Regions from separate parts of the Mus musculus genome. Here all the other regions are reported to be linked to region 1. Evidence: microRNA targets listed by miRTarBase, many of them from high-throughput screens and not tested one by one. Region 1 holds a microRNA gene; each other region holds the end of a gene's coding sequence.
Evidence for each region. Region 1 holds the annotated microRNA mmu-miR-509-5p (UACUCCAGAAUGUGGCAAUCAU, at 3,730-3,751, opposite strand). A microRNA usually pairs through its seed, bases 2 to 8, with sites in the 3' UTR of a target mRNA and lowers its output. Matches are read on the target gene's strand: a 7mer-m8 pairs with bases 2 to 8, a 7mer-A1 pairs with bases 2 to 7 and ends in A, and an 8mer does both.

Region 2: miRTarBase lists Chrnb4 as a target of mmu-miR-509-5p. Seed matches in the 3' UTR shown: 7mer-m8 at 1,200-1,206 and 7mer-m8 at 2,710-2,716.
Region 3: miRTarBase lists Cflar as a target of mmu-miR-509-5p. Seed matches in the 3' UTR shown: 7mer-m8 at 930-936 and 7mer-m8 at 209-215.
Region 4: miRTarBase lists Klhl7 as a target of mmu-miR-509-5p. Seed matches in the 3' UTR shown: 7mer-m8 at 2,014-2,020.

The regions. Positions count from the first base shown.
Region 1 is chrX:68,006,420-68,011,626 of GRCm38, forward strand. Mir509 (microRNA 509) reads right to left here and starts at 3,760; the gene lies at 3,686-3,760.
Region 2 is chr9:55,026,037-55,031,036 of GRCm38, reverse strand. Chrnb4 (cholinergic receptor, nicotinic, beta polypeptide 4) reads left to right here. Exons shown (of 6, transcript NM_148944.4): 6 at 792-2,881. The coding sequence ends at 932. It overlaps Chrna3 (cholinergic receptor, nicotinic, alpha polypeptide 3), which reads left to right and starts at 4,475. Exons shown (of 6, transcript NM_145129.3): 1 at 4,475-4,706. The coding sequence starts at 4,643.
Region 3 is chr1:58,753,000-58,758,206 of GRCm38, reverse strand. It overlaps Cflar (CASP8 and FADD-like apoptosis regulator), which reads right to left. Exons shown (of 10, transcript NM_207653.6): 10 at 1-4,423. The coding sequence ends at 4,285. Among named protein-coding and RNA genes, the nearest start is that of Gm39646, 36 kb to the left of the region's middle.
Region 4 is chr5:24,159,155-24,164,361 of GRCm38, forward strand. Klhl7 (kelch-like 7) reads left to right here. Exons shown (of 11, transcript NM_026448.3): 11 at 293-2,077. The coding sequence ends at 576. Among named protein-coding and RNA genes, the nearest start is that of Nupl2, 3.2 kb to the right of the region's middle.

The DNA of each region.
Region 1 (5,207 bases):
ACCTTTCCTCCAGCAGGGAAGGTGCCTGGATATCTGGAGCTCGAAACTGTGTCTGCCTCAGAAGCTGTCCTCTAGGTACCATGGGGGTGTATGCCAACTCTGTGCCCAGGTGACCCGGTGCTGGCACCAACTGGAAGGGACTTGTGACCCCGGTCAGGTTGGATTTTCTGCTTCCCTAATGCTGTCTCAGGTCCCCTGTGATTGGATTGGAATGGAAGTTTTGTTCCACTCACCAGAGGTCCTAAGATCACATGGAGACTCCTCCAGGGACCATGGGGGTGTCCACCGACTCAGCGCCCAAGGTGTCCTGGTACTGGCACCAACCTGGAAGGGATTTGGACCCTGGTCAGGCTGACTTTTCTGCTTCCCTAGTGCTGTCTCAGGTCCTGTGTGATTGGATTGGAACAGAAGTTGTGCTCCATTAACTGGTGGTCCAAAGATTGCATGGAGAGTTCTCTAGAGGACCTTGGGGGTGTCCGCCGAATCCATGCCCAAGTCCTATATTTTTTTAATTGGAGGAAAATCTTTGTAGTTCTGGTACTTTTTTTTTTTTTTTTTTTGTACACTATGCCATGAATTCACATGCAGTGGGCTCCAACAGCTCCGGCTCTTTTCAGTTAGTCCTCACAAAGTGTGCTTCTCTGGATGGCACCCAGGTGCCCTTATCTTTGGCTTCCTTTTTCTTCTTATCATTCTCTTTCACCTGCTTTTGGATGCTGTCTCTGCTTTTTGAGTGCTTGATGTGCTCAATCCACACACTGATCCTCTTGGCCAGAATTTTGCCCTTAACTTGCTTGTTTACAATGATGCCCACGGCATGCTGGGTCACACTGTAGACTCTTCTGGTTTTGCCGTGGTAGCACTTATGTTGTAGACATCCAGGGAATGGGCACTGTTCCTATATATCCTTATTTCTTCCATTTAATACTCTCTGTATAAATTGCTAGCCCATTTTTAATTGGGTAATTTATTTCCTTGACCCTTTGATTTTTGTTGTTGTTGTTCTTTTTATATTCTGGATGGATCATGTATAGCCAAAGGAATCCAAAGCAAAAAGAATAATACTAGAGGGATTGCTATTCTTGACTTCAAGATATAATATAGGTCTCTCTATATAAACCAATGGAATAAAAGATCCAGACAAGAGTTTTAGAAACTATGGCAATCTGGTATTTGAACAAGAGACAAGAATCGTACAGTTTAAAAAAAAAGGTGTTGGGGGGCATTTTCAACAAATGGTGCTGAGAAGACAGGATTCACACCAGGAAAATGAAATTAGAGTTTTATCCATCACCCATTTCGCAAATAAGATCAAATGAGTCAAAGACCTCTATGGGGATCTCAAAACACTAAAACTGCTAGAAGAAAATATAGGCAGTACTGTAAAAGATCTATATAGGTATAGGAAAGGACTTTCTAAACCAGACTTCAGGCTTGCCCTAGCACATAGCATTCTTGGCTTCAGACAACCAACTTATACTCACAGATATAAATATTATACCTAATTCATGTCACTATAATTTCCATGGAACACAAATTCATCTTAACTACCATGCCCTTAAGCTCATTCAAACTCAAATTTAGCACTGTGCAACAGAATGTAGAGTTGGGAAGTCCCTCATATATCTAATGTTGAGGCCTATCGACAAGAATTCAGGTTTTGGGCAACCTCTCATTATAACTCATTGAGAAAATGTATGGATCATGTGCATGTTTAAAAATGTTTAATATGTATAGTTGATATAGAGATAAAATTAAAACTATAGTAACATAAACCTATACAAATATTATAAATGTTAATACATAACTCAAACAAAACCCTGGTATTACAAGTTTTTTCTGTTGCATTTAAATTAAAAATTAAACTTGTAAATTCTACAACTTATGGTAGCACATGACATGAGGAAGGTAAAACTTGTACACACACACACACACATGCACAGCACATGCACACTCACACAAACACAAACACACATGCATATGAACACATGAACACTCACAAATTTATATATCTGCATCTGTCCTCATAATTTCAATTGACATACACTCTACTGAGTGATTAAATAACAATTGGTCATTTTGGTATTACCTTAAACTTCTCTCTCTCCTCATTCTGTGTTTCTATCTCTCTGTTTTTCTCTTATCAGAGTGTTAATAGCAGATGCTACAAAGACACCAAAAATAAAAATGAACATATACCACAATAAGTAAAAAGAAATGAATAGCTAAACATTCCAGAGAATACCTAGACTTACCTGTATTTTAAGAACTCCTCATATATTAATGGCTCACAAATGATCCAAACATATTTTCAAGGGAATGAAAACAGGCTGATTAGTCAAGCAGTTTTTATTTCAAAAATGTGTTTAAAATATTATTTGGTTATATATCACATAACACAGATCATGGGGTTTAGGTATATTTAAGAAGAATCCTTGAAATTGGAGAGGGAATGTAGTATATAGGACTTGTTAAACAGATTAGAACATTGATAGTAAGACTAAGTTCTGTGAGACCAAAAAAGTCTACAGGTGTACAAAAAGTCAAAATAGACAAATTGCGTGCAGGTAATTCCAGTACCTGGGAAGCAGGGTCAGGAGGATCATGAGTTCAGTGTCCACTTGTGACACATATTAAGACCCTGTCTAATAAACACAACAGCATCAATTTTTTTCATAATTAAACAACTTGATTTAAAGGTAAACATATCCCCATATCCTATTGTCTAAATAAGCATATGTAGCAATCACCAGTTCACTCTGCTTCCTTTTGATTACAGAGTTAGTCTTGTACTACACTGGCAAACATCTCTTGGTACATGGCAAACAGAAAGAAACAGAGGGAGTTCAGGTTCAGAAAGAAGCATGTCACTTGTGTGCCATTTGTTTCTCCAGCACCCATATCAAGTAACCCATAAATAACTGGTTGTCTCAATCTGAAGAAAGATTTGACACCATTTTCTGGGTTGTGTGGGCATGAGCACAACATGTGTGCAAATACACATACACATAAAAATAACTATTTAAAATGAGCAAAAATAAAATACTAAGGAGGGAAAAAATATACTGAGCTTATTCTGAGAAGCCAGAGGCAATTGGAAAAGGACCAGAGAACGTTGAAAATAATGAAGACACTAAAAGAAAGGTATAGTATGTTATGGCGACTTTCCCCCTATAATACAACTATTCTGGGAGAGGATACAGAAAGATTACAATTACCAGGCATTCTTATGCTGGTATCCTTAACTCCTTATCAAAAATAGATAATACATGAATAAATAAATTTATTTGTTAAATAGAAATAAAATAAAGTGAATTAATCTAACAAATTTGTTTCTAGAAAACAATTTAGGCTAAATTAATTACAATTGTTGATCACTGAGTTGATCACAAACACATTAAAATCTCTTCTTATTTGTTTTAAATAACTCTGCAGTAGTATTTATGAATTTCAGGAAAAATAGAAAACATCATTTTGAAGTCTTTTTCATAATCCTTTTTATTCCACAGATTTTCTTCTTAGAATTCACTTTTAAAAGTACCCTGATGTAGATCAGGAAGACCAGAGATTGTGGTCAGGACAGAGATAGAGGAAAGTTGTCCCTGTCCTCTAAAGGGACCATTTTTCTGCATGTAATTAAGCAAAACACTTCCCTTACGGTGCCATTGCACATGCCATATATCACATGTGTTACTCCATTACAGAAATGTCAATCACATTTAATTATGCATGATTGCCACATTCTGGAGTAAAGAACCACACACAGTTATCACAATCAACTCTTATTTTTGGTCTAAAAATGATAGTTGGGGAAATTAAATCAATAAACCAGACACTGAAAATAATATATATAAACAATATTTCTATTTCTAAGGCGATGGAGTGCTCATAAAAAAAGGGACCTATCATGACTGCCCTCTGAAAGACCCAACAAGCAGCTGAAATAATCAGATGTAGATATTTGCACCCAACCAGTGGACAGAAACAGCTAACCCATGTTGTTGGATTAGGGAAGGCTGAAAGAAGCTGAGAGCAAACCTGTAGGAGGACCAGCAGTCTCAATTAATCTGGACCTGAGATCTCTGAAACACTGGACCACCAAACAGGCATCATATAACAGCTGATATGAGGCCCCCAATACATATACAGTAGAGGACATCCAGGTCTCTGGTCATTTTCAGATGATGCACCTAACCCTCAAGAGTCTGGAGGCCCCAGAGAGTTTAGAGACCATGAGGGGTGGGTGTGAAAACATCCACGTGGAGACAGGAGGTTGGGAAGGAGATATGGGATGTGGAAGAGTCTGAGGGTGGACGGGGTGGAATAAAATGTGGAGGGTAAACATTAATTAATTAATTAATCAATTTTGTAAATGCACAATTACACATTTACATTAATTAATTAATTAATTAATCAATTTTGTAAATGCACAATTACACATTTACTCAGTTATTAAAAAGAATGAATTTATGAAATTCCTAGGCAAATGGATGGACCTGGAGGGCATCATCCTGAGTGAGGTAACCCAATCACAAAAGAACTCACACAATATGTACTCACTGATAAGTGGATATTAGCCCAGAAACTTAGAATACCCAAGATATAAGTTACAATGTGCTAAACACATGAAACTCAAGAAGAACGAAGACCAAAGTGTGGACACTTTGCCACTTCTTAGAATTGGGAACAAAACACCCATGGAAGGAGTTGCAGAGACAAAGTTTGGAGCTGAGACGAAAGGATGGATCATCTAGAGACTGCCATATCCAGGGATCCATCCCATAATCAGCCTCCAAACGCTGACACCATTGCATACACTAGCAAGATTCTGCTGAAAGGACTCAGATTTAGCTGTCTCTTGTGAGACTATGCCGGGGCCTAGGAAACACATAAGTGGATGCTCACAGTCAGCTATTGGATGGATCACAGGGCCCCCAGTGGAGGAACTAGAGAAAGTACCCGAGGAGCTAAAGGGATCTGCAACCCTATAGGTGGAACAACAATATGAACTACCCAGTACCCCCCAGAGCTCGTGTCTCTAGCTGCATATATGTCAGAAGATGGCCTAGTTGGCCATCATTGGGAAGAGAGGCCCCTTGGTCTTGCAAACATTATATGCCTCAGTACAAGGGAATGCCAGGTCCAAGAAGTGGGAGTGGGTGGGTGGTAGAGTGGGTGGGGGAGTGGGTTGGGAACTTTTGGGATAG
Region 2 (5,000 bases), not on the chromosome of region 1:
GTCCCCCAAATACAAACCAACGACAACTCGTATAGCACTTCCACTGTGTTAGGAACTCACCAGGTCTATAGACACTGTAACTACAGGGGAGGGTTTCATGATGTCTTATGTCTTAATTGCTAAGATGAACTCCATGACCAAAACCAACTTGGTATAGAAAATTTAGCTTACATATCCTGAGTCATAGCTCATCAAGGGGAGCCAAGGTCCGAACTCGAGGCAGGAACTGAAGCAGAAGCCATGGAGAAACACCGTTCACCTGCTTGCTCCTCATGGGTGGCTCAGCCTGCTTTCTTATACAACCCAGGACCACCTGACCAGGAGTAGCAACACCCACAGTGGGCTGGGTCCTCCACATCAATCATTAACCACAAGAACACCCTACAAACTTGCTGACGTTCCCTCTTCCCAGAGGACCCTAATATGTCAAGATGACCAAAACCTAACTAGCATATATGAGTTAGATGCAAATATTGCACTCTTTCTGTGGGCTTTTGAGCAGCATCAGGGTTGAGAGGTCCTAGGGGATCCAGAGGAGACTGAGGGACGTCTGTATAGCCCAAGTCCCCATGGCTTTGCTACTCCCTCCCCCAAGCCCAGTCAGGTCCGGTGAGGTTGGAGAACATCATGAGGAGCCCGGCAGAGGTCAGCCTGGGATTCAGAACCTGCCACAGCAATGCCTAGTTCTGCCCCGTGCTGCCTGTGTGATGGTGCTCAGCTGTGAGGCTGTGACTCAGAGGGAGGAGCTACCCTGTGCTTGGCACCTGTAACCAGCCTCTGTTTGTCTGCAGGTCATCGAGGACTGGAAATTCGTCGCAATGGTCGTCGACCGCCTGTTCCTGTGGGTGTTCGTGATTGTGTGTATTCTGGGCACCATGGGGCTCTTCCTGCCACCCCTCTTCCAGATCCACGCACCCTCCAAGGGCCTCTAGGCTACCCAGCGTGTTATGGGGCCCTGGGTTGTAGTGGGATGATATGAGCAGCCTAGTGGGCAGTTTACTGCTTCATCTGGGTTGTAGCTAATGAGACCCTAAGTAAAGCTAAGACTATTGGCAGTCAGCCTATCAATCTAGCCACGAGAAGGACAGAGATAGGTGGCTTGCACTGATCGCTCTGAATATCTTCGAGTAAGTCCCTTGAAGGAGGGGGATTAGGTGGCTGAAGTCCATTCTGGCCTCCTTCCTTCCATGTGCCAGGCACTGGAGTCAGACAGCTGTGTATCATCCCATCACACCCCAGCCCACCTTCCCATCCATCTCCCTCCAATCCAGGCTACCCACTAGATTCCCTGGCCGTCTTTCATTTCCTCTCACACTTCCAGATTCTTCCAGGTTAGAACCTTCAAATCTGCTGTAGCTACCGCCCAAACCTCAGACTCTCAATTCCCAAGCTTTTTACATGTCTGCACTAGGCAGAGATCTACTCCCATGATCCTCTGTTCCAATATGTCACTTCCTGTACAAGCCTTCCCTAGCCATGCATTCCAAAGCAGCGTCTCCCATAACCACATTAAACCTCCAGCTTTCTTGAGTGTCCTCCATTGGCAGCTGCAGTCCTTAGTTGGTGGCACACTAGTCACCAGCACCTTGCCCATTAAAGTCTATGCTCAACAAGGGTCGGAGTGTGTGAATTCACATTCACACTCCAGAGCCTGGGACAGAGCTCTGCACACAGAAGGTGCAAAATAAATGTTTGTTGAATGAATGGCTCCTGCTCTCCTTCAAACACACACACACACACACACACACACACACACACACACACACACCCTCTGAGTAGCTGTCCTTGCTCCCTTCCTGCTTTCTGCCTTTACACCATGGTTGGTTCAGGCCTGTCTCTTTCTCACACTGATCTGTTTCTCTCACGGTGCCTGCCCCACTGTTGGCACTCAAGATACTTCTGGAATTAAGGAGTGTTAGTGGCTTTTTTAAAAAAATAAATGTTGAGCCAGGTGTGGTGGTTCACGCCTTTAGTCCCAGCACTTGGGAGGCAGAGGTAGGCGGATCTCTGAGTTCGAGGCCAGCCTGGTCTACAGAGTGAGTTCCAGGACAGCCAGGGCTACACAGAGAAACCCTGTCTCATAAAAACAAACAAACAAACAAAACAATACAAAAAAAATGTTGCTGTTTTCCTTTTACCCAGCTAGCTCCCAAATAATTTTGACTGGACTATTGTATTTATTTAAGAAGCTTTAAAGGCACAACAACGAGCAGCATTATCTATTTTAATCCTCTAAACTGATCTGGCTACCTCCCAGTCAAAACCCCAGTGATACTTGCATTTTAGTACTGATCTGGCTCTCTGGGCTCCAGGTGTTTTCTTATGGCATCTCCTGGACTCTCTACCCAAAGAGAATCCCCACTCTCCTCCTGCCCCCTTCCCTGGATGGGAGGAAGTCCAGACCTAGTCTCTCCCCTGCTTAGCCATTGACCAATCAGGGAATAATTGGGGAGCAATGTTTACATAACATTGAGACTGGAAATTCTCAGAATAAGAATTACAATCAAATGTGGGGGCACAGAAATCAGCGTTTGAATAATATAAAGGTAATCTTTACACAGGGTATTATTTCATGCCTACAAGGGGAAGATTTTAAAAATTTATTATTTTATGTGTATGGATGTTTTGCCTTCATGTATGTGTGTGTACCACGTACATGCTAGTACCCCCCCCCCCAGAGGCCAGGAAAGGGCACTAGATCCCCTGGAACTGGAGTTACAGACTTGAGCCACCACGTATGTGGTGGGAATCAAACCTGAGTCTTCTGGAAGAACAGCCAATGCTCTTCTTGACTGCTGAGTCTCCAGCCCCTGAGGGAGAATATTTTAAAGTGTTTTGTTTTTAGAATTAACCTACAATAAAGTTGACTTCTTTAAAGTTTAACATTTGTATAACCATCATTGACACTAGGACAAAAGAAAGATGTCACTCAAACTTGGCTACTCTGCATAGACCCAACCCCTGCACACTTAGCCCTGGCCACCCTTACCTTTTCTTCACTGCTGTAGCTCAGTATCTTCAAGCCTGCTGCTTAAACGGAATCCTTCAGGGTGTAACCATTAGATACTGTAGATACTGGCTTCTTTATGCTGGGTCTTTTTTTTTTAAAGATTTATTTATTATATGTAAGTACATTGTAGCTGTCTTCAGACACTCCAGAAGATGGAGTCAGATCTCGTTACAGATGGTTGTGAGCCACTGTGTGGTTGCTGGGATTTGAACTCCGGACCTTTGGAAGAGCAGTCGGGTGCTCTTACCCACTGAGCCATCTCACCAGCCCATATGCTGGGTCTTTAAAAACAACTTCATTGGGTCAGCAAGATGACTCAGTGAGCGAAGGCACTTGCCTCTCAAGCCTGGAGGCCCGAATCTCATCCCTAGAATCCTTATAAAGACTCTAAGAGAGAATCAACTTCACAAAGCTGTCCTAGGGCTTCTATGTGTGTGCATGTACACATACTTCCTCTCAGGCTTCCATGTGTGTGCACGCCCCCCCCCACACACAATAAACAAAACTCTTTTTAAAATGATCACTTTTATTGAAGTATAAATTCACTCATTGTGCACTGGACAATACCATGAATTTTAGTATGTTCATCACCATGATCCAGCTTAGTACTGCTCCATCACCCTTACAAGGTCCCCAAGAACCATCAAGGAAGCCTTCATGGGCTAAGCCATCCCTGGTGGATGGCCAGAGAGGTCAAGAGACCCCAGAACACCTACCTTGTCACCGTCGATTCCTGGGACACATGGGTTTGCAGCTGGCAGTGAGACCAAGGGAAATCTATAACCGCCACAAAAGGAAATCTATGACGGTCACTATGGGAAGCCAGATCCTCTAGTTATTCCAACTTTACTTATAAAAGTATTTATTTACTCTGCTGGGAATCGCAGCCTGGACCTTAGGTGTGCTAGACAAGCACTCTACTGCTGAGCTATAACCATCAGCATTTGTCTGTTTTCTCAAGGAGCATCTCTAGCATAGTCTAAAGAAAGTAGCGAAAATAATATAAAACCTCCCAGATATCATCACCCTTGCGTCCACCATGGGGAACTCCTTGCCAATATTGTTTCCATCCCAAGCCATCGAGTCCCTCTTAACTGTATGCTGTGTACACACACACACACACACACACACACACACACACAGCATCGTGCTGAAAATAGTTACTTTAAGAGCATAAACTTCCACGGTCCACTTTTGAGTTACACTAGAGCTGGCACATGTGATAGGCCCCCAGCCCTCCTCAGAGCTGTACCTGCCAGAAAGCCAGGGCCAGAAATTTGACCCTTTCTTCCTGCCATGGTGACAATGCCTGATCCCGACTGGTCTGTAGCCTAGAGGTTTCAAGAGTCCAGGGAGGCTCTGGGCGAGGCATCGAGGCATCGACGCAGAAGACCGTGGCCCGACGCCCCTCCCACGACGGACGCAGCTCCTGCCTTGGCCTCCCAGCCTCCCCGCCCTGCGGCTGCTAGCAGCGCTTGCCTGCCTGGGGTTCGTGCACTCGGGCGCGCAAGTGCGCGGGAGCTCGGCGGCGCGAAGCCGGGAGGAACCCCGCGCTCTCCGTGCTAGCTTAGCTGTGCTTCGGTGGTGGTCAGCACCAGAGTGGCTCCGGTCCTGTCCATGCGGTCTTCAGACATGGGTGTTGTGCTGCCCCCGCCGCCGCTGTCCATGCTGATGCTGGTGCTGATGCTGCTGCCAGGTACAAGCGGGGAGCGGTCGGGTCCGGAGCCTAGGCTGGCTGCGGGCGGTGGCCATCGGGCGGCGGGTGGGTCTCCTGTGCGAGGCTGCAGCCCAGGGCTCTGTTTTCCGCACGACTTTGACCACCAGAGCCTTAGAAGTCTAGGCACCCACTTGCCTTGAATCTCAGCGTGGCCCCACGGTTCTGCCTGTGCACGCGCATCCCAGTCCCTACCACTGAGTCCCTTGGCTACTCCTTTGTTCCCAAACCTGCTAGTTAGCTGAGGCTCGAGACTAGCCCAGAACCGGCCCTCTG
Region 3 (5,207 bases), not on the chromosome of region 1:
TTATTTCCCTTCATGTCCAAGGGTAATCTGGGGCAGTTTGTTAATTCTGCTCCCTTTTCACCAGGGATGGAGCATGACACAGTCTGGCCTCAAACTTGTGGCAATCCTCCTGCCTCTGTAGGAACTGCCATGCCTGGCTGATTCTGTCTCTTGTTCACCACTCAGCTACCTCCTACTGTATATTATCTCCATAGCTGTGAGAGTTAGAACTCCAGCCATAACATCTACGGTTACAATCTGAATATGAAATGTCCTCCACAGAGCACACATGTGGAATACATGCTTCTCAGTTTTCTCATTTTACCTCCAATAAATATTTTTATATATATTACAATATATACAATATGATATACATTATACAATAGTATATTCAATAAATACAGAGCAAACTGGAAATGGTATAAGCCTTTGAAACCTCAAAGCCTGTCCCTGTCCCCCAGTAACAGTTCCTCTAGCGAGGCCACACCTTTCAAACAGCACACCTGGAGACCAAGTGTTTAAATGCCTGTTAATTAATATATGTTCTTATTTATACATAAAATGTTAATAGTGACAGAATCTCTTGGTAGCCCATCATAACTATAAACTTAACCATATGCTTGGCTAACTATTAGTTTGAAATATTTTAGGGTATATATCACTTAAAGATCAGTGCCTTAAAGAACTATATTATGAGTATTCACATACAAGTTTAGAACATTTTATTTAAAACAGGTATTCATTGTCTTCCATACATAATTATCTTTTAATATGTCTAAAATATTTCAGAAAAAACCCCAAAGTCGGTGAAAAACAAAAATCTCAATTCTGTCTACAAAAGGAACAAAGAAGTAACCAAAGATCCTACTATGAAAGTAAGGAGAAATATCTTTTTTTTTTTAAAGACTTATTTATTATTATATGTAAGTACACTGTAGCTGTCTTCAGACACTCCAGAAGAGGGAGTCAGATCTTGTTACAGATGGTTGTGAGCCACCATGTGGTTGCTGGGATTTGAACTCTGGACCTTTGGAAGAGCAGTCGGGTGCTCTTACCCACTGAGCCATCTCACCAGCCCCGAGAAATATCTTACTAGACAACTAGCTAAGGGAAAAAAGTGGGGCCTTCTCCACACCAGGACCACATCCACCTCCTGACACCATCCATCACTGACACCATCACTGTGCACATCTGCCCCAGCTAAAAGTCACTCTTGAGGTCTCTAAAGCTCACTGTGCAGCTCCCGTTGGCTCCTTCCCTTGACTTACGCTCTCTTCTCTATCACCACCTGCCAAGTCCCATCAGCTTTTCAAAGTTTGACTCAGTCCTTCCAAAACAGCCCCGTTACACTGTGGTCTAATGATACAATTAATGATATAACTAATTAAGAGCACAGCTCAAAAATGGTTGTAAAGCCCCTCACACTTGGTCCTTGAAACAGTCCCGTGGGATGCTCTTTTTCCCTCCCTGCTCTTCCCTATCCTCCCCATTTCACCCACCCCCACTCATATAACTTCATGTTCTCTTGCGCTCCCTCTCTCTCTCTCAAAAAACGAAAAAACTTGAACAGCAAAGCAAACAAACGAGAGAGAGAGAGAGAGAGAGAGAGTTAGTTCGAGGTCAGCCTGGTCTACAAAGTGAGTTCCAGGACAGCCAGGGCTATACAGAGAAACCCTGTCTCAAAAAAACAAAAACAAAACAAAACAAGGAAGGAAGGAAGGAAGGAAGGAAGGAAGGAAGGAAAGAAAGAAAGAAAGAAAGAAAGAAAGAAAGAAAGAAAGAAAGAAAGAAAGAAAGAAAGAAAATCAATAAAAAGACAAGCACACAGAGTCCATTTTATGTTAGCCAATTACTCCTGGGTCTGGGGCCTGCCCTGACGGGTAATGGATATGTCCAATAACACTCCACTGGAGAAAGCTGACTTCCCTTTCTCAGCAGCTATCTACTGCACAACCTCCCCTTCGTGGGGATCTCTGCAAACACCTTAACCAGCAGGGTGTTGATCCAAGAGAAGCAAGAAGAAAGTCTGTCTCAACGTGACTCAGTGGACAGTTTTTGTCCAAACTTCTGGAGTCTAGCACCAAGTAGTTTATTTTAGGCACAGCACAATTTCAAAATAGTTTCTGGTGATAATTAATCAGTCCTGTGTGTACAGAAAAGCTTAGGAGATGGCTATACTGAAACTCTTGTAGAGTACAAGCAACATCTTGCATACAGATAGGTTCTCTGAATTAACTGAGGAAGCAGGCTCAGGGAAAACAGTGGTCCTGATGAGGTTGGCAGGGAGGGCAGACTGCCGATTGACTGACATGAACTTGAGTCTGAGGGAGGCGGTGTGGCTTGGTGGTACAAATAGTGCAGAGACCACCAGCTACGAATCACATTGTTCCTGCCTTCTGGGCAGAAACAGGTTATACATCTCTCCCTCTGACGAGACAACCCTGAGGGTTGAACACTCCTGATTCCCACTGTGCTCAGGTGTGAGCACAATGGCCCACAACTTCGTCTCCCTTTCTCAGTGTTGGGACTCTGTCTGGTTTGAACCTGTGCTGTCAGCCACATGTGCACGGGTCCTGTTCTGTCTGGAAGATGCGGCTTCCCTGGAGCCCTTCACCACCTCTGGCTCTCACAGTCTTTCTGCCTCCTCTTCAGAACAGGTCCCTAAACCCTGAGGGGAGGGGTTTGACTACTATCCTCAAATACAGATAGATTATACTATTAGGTTACTCAAGAGTATACAAAGTAAAATAACCATGTTTTATAGCAGCTAATAAAATTATACCATGTTACATGTTTTGGAATTTATCTCTCTCCTCTCTCTCACAAGCAGGCAAACACACAATCTCATTACACAGCTACTACATACCTAGACTGGTTCAGAACATGTGATCCTTTGGCCTCCCCCACGCTAGTACTGGTATGGCAGGAGTTTTGCTACGTACGTTACAACCTTGCTTCAAATGTATTTAATAAATAAATAAATTCTATTTGCTCTTGTTACAAAAAAAGCTAGCTATATAAATTATAAATAAGTAATCTCACTAGGCAACCATTTTTTTAAGTTTTTTTTTTTGATTCTTTGTGAATTCTATATCATGCACCCAACCCCACTCATGTCTCCAGCTTCCTTATCTACTCTCTGCCCTTGCAATCTGTTCCTGCCAAAGAAACAAAAAACAAACAAACAAACAAACAAACATCTCCATAAAAGCTTGTGTGTGTCCCTCAGTATTTCCGTGTGCCCACACATCTTCACTCATTCACTTACATCTTTACTCAGTGCAATGGGTCATTGTCTGATCCGAGGCCTCTGGCTTCTGGTGCACTATAAATACTGGACCCTCACGGGGACCCTTCTCAGATACCCTGTTGTTGCCCTGTGTCATGGAGATCCTGCAGCCTTAGTTCTACAGGACCCGCCCCTTCACAGGCTCTGGCAGTTCACAGATGATATGGATGCTGGGGTGGGCCACCTCAAAGCCCCAAGTTGGTCATCCCTCCTGTTCCTGATCCTGAGCCAACCAGGGCAAGCTCCCCCACTCACTGTTGTGTTCTTGGGGCTGGCTCTACTGTGCTGCCCAGGCAAGGTACAGACTGCTCTCCCAAGCACTACAACCTTCAAGGAGTAGGGCTCATTCTCCTTCACCGAAGCCACTGCACAGCTGGTGAGGGTCAGGCCAGCCCTCCTGTGCTCATGGGTAACTATTTTTCTATCTAGATGTCTTACAAAGCATTAGACTGTAGATATTAAACAGACATAATGAAATTTGGTTTTGCAGAAAGAGAATATAAATGTGGAGCTGGGTCACAGAAATTGGTGGCCAATGTGAAAGTCCTGAAGCAATGGGTACTTAATGAGGTAATTACTTATTAAATGATTAGATGTGCCATAGAAACAATTTACCCAGTCGCATGACAAACTCAGGTAAGTCTCAAGTTACATTCAGTGTCAAATCTTGAACCACTATACACTATACACCCATACAATAACTTGGTATAACTTGGTAGATAACCTCCCCCCCAAAAAAACAAACAAACAATAGGTTTATGTCTTACTGTTCTCCACACTCTGGCAAAACATCCGACTAAGGAATGTAAGTAGGGAAGTTTAGAGAGGTAAAGGCACGGCGGCGGGAGTGAGACGTTTCCCAGGCACAGGGTTACGGCTCATGCCTGTGCACAGGAGAACCCTAGGCCAGGACTCACGGCAGAGCCAGAAGCAGCCAGAAGCAGCCGTAACCGCCAAGCTCTGCTCCAAGCCGCCACCCTGGATGATATACCAAGAACACCAACGGTCTGGGGTTCTCACGTAGGAGCCAGGATGAGTTTCTTCCTCAGAGTGTGCTGCAGGCTGAGGCTGTATTTCTCCTTAGACGAAACACCACTGTTCCACGCATACACTTTGTCCATGAGTTCAACGTGGAGGTCCACGAGTGGGCGTCTCCTAGAGGAAGAGAAAGGCAAAGTTTAAAGATGTGCAAACACCAAAGAGAAGACAGATTGTCATTAGGGGAGAGTCAGCTAACAGGTATGAAAGTCCTTTGAAACTCATCCTTTTAAATGCTCTGTGCATTGCTTAGCAAATAATCCAAACAATTGGCAGTACTCTGGCCCAGAGGCCAGAGTCTCCTTCCACAAAGACAGTGGAATTTTACTCTGAGAACACACCAGCTAGGGGACAAGCCACCTGATAACCCCATGCAAAGAGAGAAAGACTATAAAGGCCAATGCTACCCCTGTCCCTGGAGCACCGACTCTGAAATGTTGCACCCCTCCAAGCACACCCCCCCCAAGCCCTGCTGAGCCACCACTGAGGAGACTGAGAAAGCTAAGACAGCACCCGAGTCCTTGGAATTCAGCATTTGACTGACAGCTAAGCAACATTGTTATCCTTTGTAATTAGGGAGCAAATTTGAAAGGGCCAGTTAGTCCTATACTTGAACATTGTAGCTTCATTCCATTTACTAGAAGCTAGGGCAGTGATGGTTTCCTCCTTCTAATAAATATCCAAAATGTTTGCAGTCATCCCATTACCTCTGAAAACCAAGACCATCAGTGGGACCATGTCTGAAACCAGGCCAACACTGAACCCTACAGTGCATACGCTGTGCTTTTTCTATAATACGCACCTATATAAAGCTCAATTTATGTTAGGAGAATAAAATAAATATATTCAAAATATAAGCTGACTAATGTAAAGTAGTCATAAGCTGTGCTGAGTCTTTATT
Region 4 (5,207 bases), not on the chromosome of region 1:
TACTTTTTAATTTTCTTTTCCAGGATGGAACATTTGTAGGAAATGTGTAGGGTTTATTTTGTTGTTGTTGTTGTTGTTTGTTTTTTTTACTTTGTAGAAAAAATATTTCTGAAAATTTCTCAAGAATAAATATTTAGGTAGTGGGCGTGTGGGTAATGATCATAAAGCTCTTATATCCTTTCTATGTGGTTAACAATTTTATTTTGAAACTAAAATATAAAACTTTTAGAAACTATGAAGAGATCCAGCAATCACTAATAAAATAAAGTTCTCATATGTTGTTCTTTTGAAGGTGGTCTGGACAATGTGGAATATTACGATATCAAGTTAAATGAATGGAAGATGGTGTCACCGATGCCATGGAGGGGTGTCACGGTGAAGTGTGCAGCAGTTGGCTCTGTCATCTATGTCCTGGCAGGTTTTCAGGGTGTAGGCAGATTGGGGCATATCCTTGAGTATAATACTGAAACAGATAAGTGGATCGCCAACTCAAAAGTCCGGGCTTTCCCAGTCACAAGTTGTCTAATTTGTGTTGTTGATACTTGTGGAGCAAATGAAGAGACCCTTGAAACATGAATGGTGAATGGACTTCCACTCATCTGAAACTTAGAGATATGGCCACCAGTGGTTTATTCCAAGAGTTCGGTTATGAAGTTCTGATCTGGTATTTTGATAAAGTAAGATTCCAATAAGATAACAGTTTATATTATCTGGATCTCCTTACTTAATTCAAAGATCATATTTTATTTGGCCATCCAAGAACCTATCAGCCAGAAAACGTGAAAAGTTACAAGCACTTCTTGAAAACGTGAATTGCAAATATATAACTGATTGTGGCAGAGTGGGGCATGCTCATCAGAGAAAGAGCCCCAGCTTAGCTCTAGATTCTATTTTCCTAATTGTGTAAGTGCTGTGTAGTTAGGGCTTTTTGTTTCTGTTTGGTCAAGAACTAAGTAATCGTATGAATTATAGTCGGAGATGGTAAACTCTGATAGAGTAACTGTAATAGTGTTATGTATTTTGCTTGTCTTCATTATTTCATTTAGTGCCAAATTATTCCATTTTAAAGTAAGCAAAAATGGCTTAAACATACACACTTTCTCACAAAACTTCTCAGATTTTTGGGACTTAACTGTACCCAGTTACTCATGAAATAATATATTCAGTCCAATTAAATGAAATATTATACATTTTTGTATAAAATATTAAGCTTAGCACCCATCATTAATTCATATGGTTTTACTCAGCAGTGTAAAAAGCACTCTATGTCCTCATTCTCTATGCGAGAGCCAATCAGTAGGAACGATTGACCAACAGAAGAAAAGCTGTTGGAAGAAATTTCTAGATTACTAGAAAAGCACTGATAATTGTAGCCCAGTAGCATATGGATTTTAAAAAATACAGTTTTCTTTTCTCCTAGCAGAACATGTTAGAGGTAACTGAGTTTTCTCTAAAAGTTTTGTAATAATTGGCATTAAGTATATCATTATTCATTGCTTTTATGTGGACAACAAATTACCAAACGGCCTATTAATTTTTCTCAGTAATGTTTTGCCCTTTGACTATGTATGAAATGTGCCATGTTAAACTGTCAATCAATGTTTTTATCTGATATTAAATATTTTTAACTTAAATAGATTTGCTTTGTTTATTCATTCTACGTGTGTTCATTAATATTTCTTAAATTTGTGAAAGTTTCCATTTAAAATTTTTCTCTGAATGGAAGTTAGAACAGACTCTAAAATGTTTAAATTAAAAGTGAAGTTGAAAAGTGACAGGATTTATCTGTCAAGTTCTTATGTATAGACAGCTTTATTGAGATGTAATTCATAAGCATACAGTTCACCCATTTAAACTGTACTAATGTAGTGGCTTTTAGTATGTCTATATGCGGGGCTGGTGAGATGGCTCAGTAGTTATGAGCACTGACTGCTCTTCCAAAGGTCCTGAGTTCAATTCCCAGCAACCACATGGTGGCTCATAACCATCCGTAACAAGACCTGACGCCCTCTTCTGGAGTGTCTGAAGACAACTACAGTGTACTTACATATAATAAATAAATCTTTTTTAAAAAGTATGTTTATATGCACTGTGTACAGTCATCATTGTATTTTTCAAGTGTTTTCATAACTCCTCCGAAAGAAGCCCTGTACTTACTGTAGTCACTCCTATTCCCATGTGCTAGCTTGCTACACTGCTACAAACTACTGCTTGCTTAATGGATTAAACCAACCAATATATTTTCACTGTTTAGGAGGCCAGATGTCTCAAATCTGGCTTTTGGAGGATTGGGCAAAACCGCCACACACCCCATTCCCACCCCTGCTGCTGGTTGCCAGTAGTCCTTGACATTTACTTCTTAGTTTATACCTAGAGCTGCACTGCAGTCTTACACCTTCATCTTCTCATGGTCATTTCTTTCTCTTGTGTAACTATTTTCACTTAGTTCTTTTGTAAATAGCATTTATTTGAACCATTCTTTTTTTTAACTTACATATGAATGAATATATACCATCTGTATGCCTGGTGCCCACAGAAGTCAGAAAATGGGGTCAGATCTCCCGAATCTGGTTGTGAACCACCACGTGGGTTCTAGAAACTGAACCCAGGTACTTAGAAGAACAGCTAGTGCCCTTAACCTTGGAGCCATCCCCCGCTGGCCTGGAGTTAAGATACCCACCCTCTGCTTTCTAAATGCTGTGACTAAAAGTATGCACCACCACATCAGAAGGATTCTAGTACTTTGTCTTAAACCACTTACATCTGCAAAGATCCTGTTTTCAAGTAGAAATGCATTCTGGAGTTCTGGATAGATAGGAATTTTGTGAGGAACACTATTTAACCCAGTACACTCTTACAAACTCCAGCCTTAGACAACCTCCACCTCTAGACTGTAAAATGATCTTTTATTCACTTGATGTAATTGTCATCTCAGGCTCACTGCCTCTGTCTGCTAACCTAGGTGAGGTCCTGGAAGCTTCCAGCCTCCATACAATCTTATCTAGGCCTAGAATGTTTTCATCTTTTGAGACTTACTGCTGAACAAGCTCACCCTTTCTAGCTCTTTCTATACTCTGGCTGGTTCAACTTAGCTGTTCTGGCTCAAACTGATTCAATCTGGCTTCTCAGTCTCTGACTGTTGTAAATATTTTTATGTAAGATGTTGAAATTTGCACTATTTTAAAATGTGGCTATTTGAGCTGGGCAGTGGTGGCACACGCCTTTAATCCCAGCACTTGGGAGGCAGAGGCAGGCGGATTTCTGAGTTCGAGGCCAGCCTGGTCTACAGAGTGAGTTCCAGGACAGCTTAGGGCTACACAGAGAAACCCTGTCTCGAAAAAACGAAAAAAAAAAATGTGGCTATTTGAAGCTGGAGAGGTGGCACTGTATCTTGCAGAAGGACCTGGGTGTGGTCCTTTGCATCCACTCGGAGGCTCACGATCATCTACAACTCTAGTTTAGGGGGATTCAGTGCCCTCTTTCTAGCTACCTCAAGTACCAGGCACACAATGAAGCACATGCATACATGCAGGAAAACATGAGAAAAATTGTTAACATAGCTAAATTTTCTGATGACAAAATACTCATTTATTACACTGTAATCACACTGATAGAGCAGTTACCCCTGTAGAATAGGCAGCACTGTTAAAATATTTTGACTATATTAGCTGTTCTTTTTAGGCTGCTGATTAACTAGAACACATAACATTTTATAAAGCTTTCTATAAAGTTCCTTTACTCCTAATAACCTGTATCATGTTCCTAATAAGAACACGTCTTCCCCCAAACCAGAACTATCATTCACAATTCTAAAGGATAATGGGTAAAAGTAAACTATTCAAAGTATATTACTTCATATACAAATTGCTTTGTATTCAAATTTCTTTGTATATAAAGTACATTTCATTACTTTTTCAAAAAGTTCCTTTCCTATAATGTACTCTGCTTTCATTTCAGTAGATACTGGGTTTGTCAGTGTTCTGTCCTTTGAAGTGCTTTATTTTGATGATACATGGGTTTTACTTTTGAGAATCACAATTTGAGTATGAATGTTTAGTAGACAAAACTTGTTCCATATTATAACAGTAACTGTGGCTCTGTGGTCTAGTTTTTAAAACTTGTCATTATAGTGTCATGAAAATGTTTGAGTCATGAGGCATTTTAATACACCAATATCAAAATGTGCCATTTAATAAAGTTATTCAACTAAATCTATATTCTTTTTTGACTGTTTGCATTAGGTAAAATCCAATTTACTCCATCCAATATGGCACCAAACCAGTTCTCATTAAACTTCAGTAAACTGGTATTATGAAAGAGCATTTTGTGGGTTGCAGCATTAAATCCTGATTGATCCTTTTGAACCCCTTAATTTTTCCTCCAAAGATTTTTAAGGTTTCACTCTGATATTACCAGTTTTACTCCTTTTAAACATAACTCAATTTGTTGTGGGCGGGTGTGAAGATTCAAAATAGTGGCAGTTCTCACTTTGGTAAGCTGAGGCAGGAGGATGACTGAGACCATGCTAGATTACACCTACATATAGAGCTATCTAGATTGTGTTTCCTATTACTATGACAAACCCTGGTAAAAGCAACCTCAGAAGCATGTGTTGATTCTGGCTCACAGATTAAGGTACAGTCTAGCACAGCTTGGACGGGATTTCAACAGGAGCATGAGACAGCTGGGCACATTGTATTTGCAGTCTAGCAACAGCAATGGATGTTCAACTTGAATTTGCCTTTTTATTCAGTGTGTGCCCACTCCTTTGAGAATGCAGTCCTCATTAAGGGTACATCTTTCCAGTTCAACCTTTGTGAAAGCATCTTCACAGACATGCTCAAAGGTGTGTATCTATGGGGATCTAAGTCTGACCCTCCAAGTCCAGAGATTTGTGTCTATGGTGATTCTAAAAGTAATCAAGTTGACAGTATTTACCATCACAAGTGTTAGGATTACTAGTTAGAGTTTTGCTTTTGATCTCTCCATCCTCTAGCATAACCAAAATATAAAATGAGACTCAAGGTATACTTTGAGTCTGAGGAGTCTCTAAGCTGCCTTCAACTCTTAGTTTATCCCCATTCTCCAATTTTAATTTCCAAGAGCAATTTCATTTCATTGTTATATAATGTACTTGTTTTATACTGATACAGGGTCCTGCATGAGAACTGTAAAGATAATAAATGAAACGTAGTGGGTGTACGGTT